3 linked regions of the Cricetulus griseus genome follow. The protein of the gene in region 1 purifies or fractionates together with the protein of each later gene. This does not show direct contact. Links are inferred from orthologs where the notes say so. Each region holds a gene or a part of one and is shown in the gene's direction. Other genes may lie near its edges.

Region 1 (3,500 bases):
TTGAGGATCTGAGAGCACATCCCAGATGGGATACCCGAATCTCATTTAGAGGATGGAACTAATATGGCGAGAAGATAGTTTTCAAATAGGTGAAGTTGTGTGGCATTGAGAGGAAGCATAGAAGTTAAGGGACTGTCTGTCAGTGCACAAAGAAGTAAAGGCATTCATTTATTGTCAGAGGAATATCTGAGAACTGGGTTCTAAGATGAGTGTAAGGAAGTAATATTAAACACGCTTAAAAGATCACTGGTAGAGAGCTAAAATTTTTTTTAGTTGTATTTGGGAGGTCTTGCAAGTTAAGAATACTCATGAATAATTTATTAAAAATAATGTTCAGAAATTATTCATGTTAGCACCGCTTATTTTTTGAACTATTTGGTAAAGCCATAAATTTGGTTATTTGTATAAGTGTAATAATAGACTTTATTAATTAATTATTAATAATGGTAACCAAATCAAATATGAAGATTTGGAAACTAAGAGCTAGTTATATATTGCTGTTACTGCCCCTTTGCTACTTGTGGCAAATGAGAGGGTGCTGCTAGGTGACTGCAGCTGTGTTCTTCTAATGAGGTCTCTATTGCCTGGCCCTCCCTCCAGTGCTTCATTTGCAATTAAAAGTGAAATGTCAAACAAAAGAAGAAAATGAAACTCAAGTGGGATATATGATTGTTGAGACATAAAAGGATTTGGGATCAAAAGAATGTATCCTTTCCCTTAATTACCTTGTACATTATAAACTCCCTATGTATTTTCTCTTAATACAAAGTTGTTTTTTTTTTTTTTTTTTTTTTTTTTTAATACTGGAAGCAAATGTAAAGGACTCTCAAGGCCTGCAAAGTTTCCAAGGTCCTCTTGAGGGTTGGGGCTTGACTACCAATTTAGACTACATTCAGATTTTATAGATAACTATGATGACTTAGTAGACATAAGTGAGTATAGTTGACACCAAAAAAAAAAAAAAGAGTATCATAATTTACTTGAAAGAACTAAGTAAAAGAATATGCTTACATTGGTATTTTGACCAGACTACATAATATGGTCATAATTTAAACTATCTTCATAATCCCAGCATGTTGAACATCACTACAAAGCCTTTTTAACTTTATGCAACTTAGTTGCATACCAGCTCCCCAAAACTTTGATTTCCATGACTATTGAAACTCTGAACAGAATGATTTTTTTTAATGTTTCACACACGCAACTGATTTCTTTTCTAGCACTTTGTCACTTGACTCCAAGAAAAATACATTCTTGCATAAAAAGGTATATATGGCTATTTATATGACTTAGATAATTATACTGTATGTAACACTTTACATATTTGAAACATTCATTAGTAAAGTAACATGGCTCCTACTGAGGTCAAATTATATACATCATCAATTTAAAATTATTCCATCATAAGATAAAATATTGTGGGAAAATGTGTTTCTACCATCTCTTAAATGTTTTATCAGGAATTGATTCAAATAAAAAACAAGTTGGAGAACTTTGTTGCAGTTTTTAATTTTCTCATAAAAGAAAATTGGATTGTTATTGTATTAAGAACTGTAAACTGGGTGGTGGTGGCACACGCCTTTAATTCCAGCACTCGGGAGGCAGAGGCAGGTAGATCTCTTCGACTTTGAGACCAGCCTGGTCTACAAGAGCTAGTTCCAGGACAGCCTCCAAAGCCACAGAGAAAGCCTGCCTCGAACTCCCCCCCAAAAAAACAAACAAACAAACAAAAAAAAAAACAGGGTTTGCCCAAAGTTGTCTTCCTAGGCTTTACTGGTCAATACTATCATTTATAAATACTGCCAGCCAGATGACAGGTTTAAAAACTCCTTTATGATAAGGCATTGGCTGCAGAAGCAGTAAATACAGTCATTGTCATGGTATCCACAGATACACAAGTGTTTTTGGTTTTTTGAGACAGGGTTTCTCTGTGGCTTTGGAGGCAGTCCTGGAACTAGCTCTTGTAGACCAGGCTGGTCTCGAACTCAGAGAGACCCGCTTGCCTCTGCCTCCCGAGTGCTGGAATTAAAGGCATGCACCACCAATGCCCGGCTGATACACAAGTGTTTTATATTAAATGACTTACAATTACCACATTACCTAGGTATCTCCTATACATTTTAAATCATCTCTAGCTTGCCTATAGTGCCTTTACATTTTACCAGCTAAAGAATAATGATCAAAAAACTTTTGTTAGGTATGAATGTAACTTTTTTTCCCAAATATTCTCCTATCTGTAATTGAATTGAGGCCATGGATATCATGAACCATCTGTACCTCTTTTAAGTGATTTTTTTTTTTTTCTTGCATGCTATCTCAGTTTTTACCTGCTCAGGCTCATTTTCAGGTGCCTGGGATGATTAGACAATCCATAATTCTTACCAATCAAGTAAAAGAAGGAAAGAGAACTCCGAGCTTCTCTCCCAATTAACAGGTAGTTTGCTGTGGTCAGAATTAAATGTAGATTTTGCAGCAACACACATTAGTATTTTTATTATAAGTAACTGATTGAAAGTTTGTGAAATGAGTAAGTGCCCCATTTGAGTGACAGTTAATTAGTACAAGAGACCATTTTTGTTTCTGTATATGATAGAGTAAATTGATTTGATTCACTCTTCATTTTAACATTATGTATTTATGTTATTACTTTTACTTTAAGATGTATTTTGTTCCTTGCAGTGTTTGAGCAACACACCTCCACTTACTGAATATTTCCTCAATGACAAGTACCAAGAAGAGCTGAATTTTGACAATCCCTTAGGAATGAGAGGTGAAATAGCTAAGTCATATGCTGAATTGATCAAGCAGATGTGGTCTGGAAAGTTCAGCTATGTCACTCCTAGAGCATTTAAGGTGAGTATGATAAGCTTACTCTCAGCAAGTGTGCTCTTGTCCCCAGAAAATCAAGAAAGAAAAGAAAAAAATACTAAGGTGAAAGGGATGATGTCCCATTACAGTGTCATCCCATCCATGTGACACAGGGCACAGGACAGGGTGGGTGATTAGGGCTCTTTGTTTGTTTTTGTCTTTCTTTCTTTCCTTTCTTTCTTTCTTTCTTTCTTTCTTTCTTTCTTTCTTTTTTTCTTTCGGGGGTTTGAGACACCTGTGTAGCTTTGGAGCCTATCCTGGCACTTGCTCTGGAGACCAGGCTGGCCTCGAACTCAAAGAGATCCACCTGCCTCTGCCTCTTGAGTGCTGGGATTAAAGGCGTGCGCCACCAACGCCTGGAGTGGTTTTGTTTTCTTAATGTCTGGAAATGGGCTGGAGAGGGATGGCTCCAGTTAAGAGCACTTCCTACCTCTCCAGAGGACTTGAGTTTCCAGTACCCAGGTTGCCAGCACCAACATCAGGTGGCTCAGAAATGCCTCTGTGACTCAAGCTGGAGAGGATCTGATGCCCTCTTCTGACTTCCATGGGCATCTGCACTCAGGTGCAAACTCACACTTGTGTACACATAATTAAAACTAAATCTTTATGAAAAAGGTTACTAATAAAGGGAA
Region 2 (3,500 bases), on another chromosome or scaffold:
CTGTCTTCTGTACTGGCCTCCAGCCCTTGATTCTCCTGCCTTAGCCTCCTGAATCCTGGGATTACAGGAATGTGCAGTTTGCAGTGCTGTGTTTTTTTTTTTTTTTTTTTTCTTCAAGACAGGGTTTCTCTGTGTAGCTTTGGAGCCTGTCCTGGCACTTGCTCTGTAGACCAGGCTGGTCTCAAACTCACAGAGATCAGTTGGCCTCTGCCTCCCGAGTGCTGGGATGCACCACCAATGCCTGGCTTCAAAAAAGTTTTAAATTATGTGTTTGTTTGTGATATCTCATCTCTGTAGTGAGAACAACTTGTGGGAGTCAGCTCTCTCCTTGTAACATGTGAATGCTAGGGACTGAACTGAGGTATCAGTCTTGGTAGCAGACTCTTACCCACTGAGCCGTCTCACTGGTCCTCTATCTTTTGAGACAAGGTTTCCATATTCCCTATTCAATCTCCTGAGTGCTGGGATTATAGGCATATGCTTACCATACCCAGCTATTGAACAGTTCTATATAAGCAGCATGGTTTATGAATGGTGACTGTATAGAATGAGCATATGGAATGTAGTGTTGCCTAAGGTTCCACTGATACATACTCCCCCCACCCCACCTCTCAGGCTCTGGGCAAATGTCCCATCATTTAACCACATTCCCTAGATTTATTTATTTTGTTCCCCTTCATATAACCAGTGTTTTAGCAAAACTTTGGGAAAAACTCTTTGGATCTTATTTTAGCTGGTCCTAAGTCTATAATGAAAGATAGAAGGATATTAGGTCTGAAGAATTCCTACACCATAACAACTTTGTGTCTCCATTGTCCCAGGCTGGCCTTGTACAACTCCCGTTTCCTGAATCTCTGCTCTGAGATGGATGGTCGAGTCCGGCCTCTGGTGTATACCGTACGCTGCTGGGCTCAGCATAATGGGCTGTCAGGTGAGAATGAGGAGAGCACAGACTTGGCCCGAGCTAGTGTTAGGCAAAGGGAGGGATTTAGGGTGAAAAAAAGGTGGGCACAGGAACCAGGGATTATAAATACTTCTTCCTAACTGGAATTATTGGTTATTATTCAGGGGGCGGCCCCCTTCTCAATAACTACGCCTTGACGTTGCTAGTGATCTACTTCCTTCAGACTAGAGACCCTCCAGTGCTTCCTCCTGTGGCCCAGCTCACCCAGAGATCAGGTAATGCAGAACAGCCTCTACTGTCACCTCCGCAGCCTCTTCTCAACTGTCACCCCACTTTCTACCCGTTCTTCCCCAATTTTCCTACTTCCAGCCTGACCCTCTCTTACTGTCACAGGTGAAGGGGAGCAGGTAGAAGTTGATGGCTGGGACTGTAGTTTCCCCAAGGATGCGTCCCGACTGGAGCCCAGCACCAACCTAGAGCCTCTCAGTGAGTCTGGGGAACCTAGGAGACAACTAACAATAATATTAAGTTCTAGAATAGGCACGGTCTTCACTAACCCCATGACTGTTGTTTTTTTTTTTTGATTTATTTATTATTCTGCCTCTATGTATCATGTATCCCTGCACACCAGAAGAGGGCACTAGATCTCATTACGGATGGCTGTGAGCCACCATGTGGTTGCCAGGAATTGAACTCATGACCTCTGGAAGAGCAGGCATTGCTCTTAACCTCTGAGCCATCTCTCCAGCCCTCATGGTTGCTGTTTTAAGGATGACAAAACCATATCTTGGGCAGCTAAGTAAGAGGTGTATTCCCTAGTTACACTGCTCTCCAGGGCAAGCAGCAGCATCTGGGCAGGACATGGCTGAGGAGCTGGATTTCTCAGGACACTTTTGAAGCCCTAAGAAGGGAAGAAAGTCCTACTGAAGTAGCAGCAGGGATGTCCCAATTATGGCTTCTAAGTGACAGACACCCTTTTCCTAATCTGCCTTTTCCAGGTTCTCTGCTGGCCCAGTTCTTCTCTTGTGTTTCTTGCTGGGATCTTTCGGGCTCCCTGCTGTCCCTCCGGGAAGGTTGTGCATTGCTGGTGTCAGGGGGCCTGCCTTCTGATCTTTGGGAGGGGCTGCGCCTTGGCCCCATGAATCTCCAGGATCCCTTTGACCTGAGTCACAATGTTGCAGCCAATGTAACCAGCCGGGTGGCCAGACGTCTGCAGAACTGTTGTGGGGCAGCAGCTAGTTACTGCCGAAGCCTCCAGTACCAGCAGCGTTCCTTCCGGGGCCGGGACTGGGGACTACTGCCACTTCTGCAGCCCAGCTCCCCTAGCTCCCTGCTGTCTGCCAAGCTCATCCCCTTACCACCTGCCCCCTTTCCTCAGATCGTTACGGCTCTTGTGCGAGTGTTAAAGGAAGCGCTTGGATGTCATATAGAACAGGGAACCAAGAGGCCCAGGTCAGAGGGTCCCAGGACCAAAGACCCTTCCCTGGGAGGGACAAACAAAAGACAGAGACTAGATGGGCAAGAGAAGAGCTGGGAGGAGGGGAATGAGAAGTCGCAGGGATGTGCAGGGGACCACAGTGAAAATGGGGTGGAAGAAATGGTAATAGAGTTTCGAGAGACGTCTCAGGGCAGGGCCTTGCTGAGCTCTGCACCATCAGGCCAGTTGCCCCTGATGACTTGGAAGTGTCTAGACAAGTTGGCTGAGCAGAAGCCCATGGAACCCGAAGTGGCTGGAGAAGAGTCTCAGGGTGAGACAGGGAAGGAAACATCACACCTCTCATCAGCGAGCTGGCGCTGTGCTTTGTGGCACCAAGTGTGGCAGGGGAGGCGGCGTGCCCGGAGACGATTACAGCAACAAACCAAAGAAGAAGGCAGAGGAGGCACCACCACTGGAGCAGAGTGGCTGGCAATGGAAGCTCGTGTGACCCAGGAACTGAAAGGACCAGACAGTGAGCAACAGAGGCTACAGGGGGAGCCCCTCCTCACCTTTGTGGCATCTGTCTCCCAAGCTGACCAGGCGCTCACTGTGGTACCAGTCCAAGATTCCCAAGGCCTGTTCCCTGGGCTTCATCATTTCCTACAGGTTTTTCTCCCTCAAGCACTTAAAAATCTCCTTGAGTGAGGAGGCGACCTCACAGACAATAAAGCTGGTAGTTTATTTAATACAGACAATGGACAACTGCGATTTCTACCTGGTAACACTTTCTCTCTGTCTTAATGTAGCCTCTGCCCTGCTTGGCCTGACTATCCTAAAACAGTCATTATGTCCACTTCAGAGGTCTTCCCACCTCATACCACATTTATAGGGAGTTCCACACCACAAGACAAAGGCACTGATTTCTGCTGCCTTTTCTACCCTTTAACACTAGAGTGAGTTCAAATTTCCCTTAAGTTGGATACGAGATTTCCAAATTTGGATATGTGTAAATTATTGCATTAGAACTGGTCTACCTTACCCGACCTTCTGGAGCACAGCCCGGCTTGAGAGGTGCAGGTGACATACAAGTTTGCCGGTCCCCTTTGTTGTAGAGTTAACATCAAGGTTGTTTAGTCATCGCAGACCTACTTTCAGATGTTTTCGGCCATGAGCCCTGCC
Region 3 (3,137 bases), on another chromosome or scaffold:
CTGCAGCAGTTGCGGGAAAAGGATGACGCCAACTTTAAACTCATGTCAGAGCGGATCAAGGCCAACCAGATTCACAAGCTGCTCCGAGAGGAGAAGGATGAGTTGGGCGAGCAGGTTCTTGGCCTCAAGTCTCAGGTATGGCAGCTATGGTGTGACACTTGTGGATGAAGCTGGAGAGGTTGCACCCAGTACTGAGGCCTCCCATCCGCAGGTGGATGCCCAGCTGCTGACAGTGCAGAAGCTTGAGGAAAAGGAGCGGGCTCTGCAGGGCAGCCTTGGGGGTGTGGAGAAGGAGTTGACCCTGCGCAGCCAGGCCCTGGAGCTTAACAAGAGGAAGGTAAGACTGGGCTTTTGAGCATGTATTCCCCGTGGCTCTGCTTGGCAGTCCTGATAGGTGATCAGGGTGAAGCTTGGTTCTGCTTCTTTTTTTTTTTTTTTTTTTTTTTTAATTGTGTGTTCTGGAAATCAAACTCAGGTGCTTGTGAACACTTCACCAACTACTGTGTGGGCAGTGATAGATTTTAATTGTTTTTATTGTGTGTGTGTCTTGAGATAGGATCTCTCTATTTAGCTCCTGCTGTCCTGGAATTCATTATGTAGACTAGACAGAGCTGGTCTCTGGCCTCAGACTCACAGAGATCTGCCTTGAGTACTGAGATGAAACACATGCACTAGTTTTTATATTTACTTATTTGATTTTATGCATATGAATGTCTTTGCCTACTTGTTCGTCTTTGTACCACAAGCTTGCCTGGTGCCCTTGAGAGACCAGAAGAGGGCATGAGATACCCTTGAATTGGAGTTATAGATGGCTGTGAGCTGCCACATGGGTGCTGGGAACTGAAACCAGGTCCCTTGCCAGAACTCAAGTGTTATTAACTACTGAACCATCTCTTCAGCCCAGCTTGAATTCTTGATCCTCCTGCCTCAGGCTCCCAGGTGCTGAGAGTATAAGTGTTTATATTAAACAAAAGAAAAACGGACTGATGATGTAACTCGGTGAGTAAACTTCCATAGCATACATCAGGCTCTGGGTTCAGGCTCCAGCACTGTATAAACTGGGCATGATGGTGTATAAAAACTGGCCTATAAACTCAGCACTGGAAAGGTCAGCAGGAGGGCCAAGAAGTTCAAGGTCATCCTCAGCTACCTAGCAAGTCTGAGGCCAGCTTGGGCTGGAATATTTAGAGACTTTGTTTGAAAGTGGATTGAGAAAGAGGATTAACTGGAGAGATGGCTCAGAGTTAAGATTGCTGCTCTTCCAGAGGATCTAGGTTCAATTCTCAGCACCCACATGGCAGCTCTCACTTGTTTGTACCTCCAGTTCCAGGGGGTCCACCACCCTCACACAGACATGAATACAGGCAAAACACCAATGCTCATAAAATGGAAATATTAAATTATTAAAGAGAGAATTTAAAGAGACCGGATTAATGTTGATTTCATAACTATTGGTGTATTCTCTTCTGGTGAATTCATTCATGTAAGCAGGATTTTTATGTCCCTATTACATGCTCGGCTTTATGCTAACCAGCACTGGGTGAGCCCTCCCTCCCCACCAGTGACACCACACATAAGTCACGCTGCCCGTCACTCACATCTTTTTCTTTTTCCTTTTTTCTTGTTTGCTCATTTGTTTTCTGAGACAGAATCTCTCTGTGCAGTTGGTCCTGGCTGTTGTGGAGCTCTCTCTGTAGACCAGGCTGGCCTTGAATTCAGAGAGTCTGCTTCTACCTCCTAAGTGCTGGGATTAAAGGTGTGCACCACCACACCAGGCTCTTTTTCTTTTTCAAACAAGTTTGTACTGTATTCCAGGCTAGCATTGAGCTCTCAGTGATCCTCCTGCCTCAGCCTCCAAACTGCTGGAACGACAAACACATGCCACACTATACTTGGTTCAAACAGCTTGATGAAAGAAACTAAGGCTGTGTGAAAAAGTAATAGTGCTCCTTGGAGACATGATTTTAGAGCTGCATCCCAGGGAGAGTTGCTGATGGCAGGAGAGAGAAGAGCCTGCTGGAGGCTCAAAGGCCAGAGGGAGCACTGTTACACAGTAAGGAGCTGTGTTGGGAAGATGTGAGGCTGTGGACCACAAGGCAGGGTCAGCCTCAGTGCAGACGTCACTCTGGATGTTTGACAGAAGGATCCGTGGACTGTGGCCCCCCAGGCTTGGGCATACAGTCCTCTCTTTCTGTTCCCACCCACCTCAGGCTGTAGAAGCAGCCCAGTTGGCTGAGGACCTGAAGGTGCAGTTGGAGCATGTGCAGACTCGGCTTCGAGAGATCCAGCCGTGCCTGGCAGAGAGCCGGGCTGCCCGAGAGAAAGAGAGTTTCAATCTCAAGAGGGCTCAGGTATGTGCTTGGGGAGGGCCTGTGGGTTACCAGTGCGGGAGGCATGCAGGCATGCAGGTTCTTAGCCTGGCATCTTCTGATCTAGGAGGATATTTCCCGGCTGCGGCGCAAACTGGAGAAGCAAAGGAAGGTGGAGGTTTATGCAGATGCTGATGAGATCCTGCAGGAGGAGATCAAGGAGTATAAGGTGGGATGTGGTGATGGCTACTGAGAGTTGGGTCGTCTTTGGTGCTGGAGAATGAGGCAGGACGGCAGAAGACACTAAGTGTGCAGTCAGAACCCATTTGTTGTGTATGTGCCATGTGGCAGGGGAGGGATTTTGTCCCGACCCCAGCAGTTAATTGATGGTAATGCTGCCATCTCTGTGATAAGTAATGTGATGTCAGAGGCATGGTAAGAGCCCAAAGGAAGTCTCCAGAGCAGCCCTGAGGTTGGGAAGGGGTTGTGTAGCAACTGGCTTCCTAGAAGGAATTGTCGCCTAAGATAGACCCAAAGCTTAGAGAATGGGGTGAGAGCTTATGTACGGGAAAGGCCCCAGGTAGAGCCATGATGTTGGAGGAGAGATGGGTGAGCAGCAGACCCCGAAGGGTGTGGGGCAGGCTTGTAGCCTGTACACAGAGTAGAGGCTTTTTATTTATCAGGTTTGGGGAAGTGGAGGAGCATTCAATGCAGGGGATTAGACCTAGGGCCGTCTACAAACCAAGCTCATGCTTCACTAAGCTGCATCTTCAGCTCCATCAGAGGTTTTTATTCAAAATCGTGGTCAGATGTGGGGCCAACATCAGC

The links.
Region 2: the proteins of Usp15 (region 1) and Tut1 purify together in Homo sapiens (affinity purification with mass spectrometry; 4 studies listed by BioGRID and IntAct, with this or other methods). This does not show direct contact. The link is inferred for Cricetulus griseus from reciprocal best matches to the Homo sapiens genes USP15 and TUT1.
Region 3: the proteins of Usp15 (region 1) and Rnf40 purify together in Homo sapiens (affinity purification with mass spectrometry; 4 studies listed by BioGRID and IntAct, with this or other methods). This does not show direct contact. The link is inferred for Cricetulus griseus from reciprocal best matches to the Homo sapiens genes USP15 and RNF40.

The regions. Positions count from the first base shown.
Region 1 is NW_023276806.1:134,020,105-134,023,604, forward strand, and holds part of Usp15 (ubiquitin carboxyl-terminal hydrolase 15), read left to right. Parts: intron 1-2,679; coding exon 2,680-2,853; intron 2,854-3,500. UniProt on the Homo sapiens protein: Hydrolase that removes conjugated ubiquitin from target proteins and regulates various pathways such as the TGF-beta receptor signaling, NF-kappa-B and RNF41/NRDP1-PRKN pathways.
Region 2 is NC_048596.1:51,133,579-51,137,078, reverse strand, and holds the end of Tut1 (speckle targeted PIP5K1A-regulated poly(A) polymerase), read left to right. Parts: intron 1-821; coding exon 822-931; intron 932-1,068; coding exon 1,069-1,179; intron 1,180-1,297; coding exon 1,298-1,390; intron 1,391-1,902; coding exon 1,903-3,026; 3' UTR 3,027-3,076; downstream 3,077-3,500. UniProt on the Homo sapiens protein: Poly(A) polymerase that creates the 3'-poly(A) tail of specific pre-mRNAs. Localizes to nuclear speckles together with PIP5K1A and mediates polyadenylation of a select set of mRNAs, such as HMOX1.
Region 3 is NC_048596.1:73,156,338-73,159,474, reverse strand, and holds part of Rnf40 (E3 ubiquitin-protein ligase BRE1B), read left to right. Parts: coding exon 1-135; intron 136-211; coding exon 212-337; intron 338-2,210; coding exon 2,211-2,351; intron 2,352-2,436; coding exon 2,437-2,538; intron 2,539-3,137.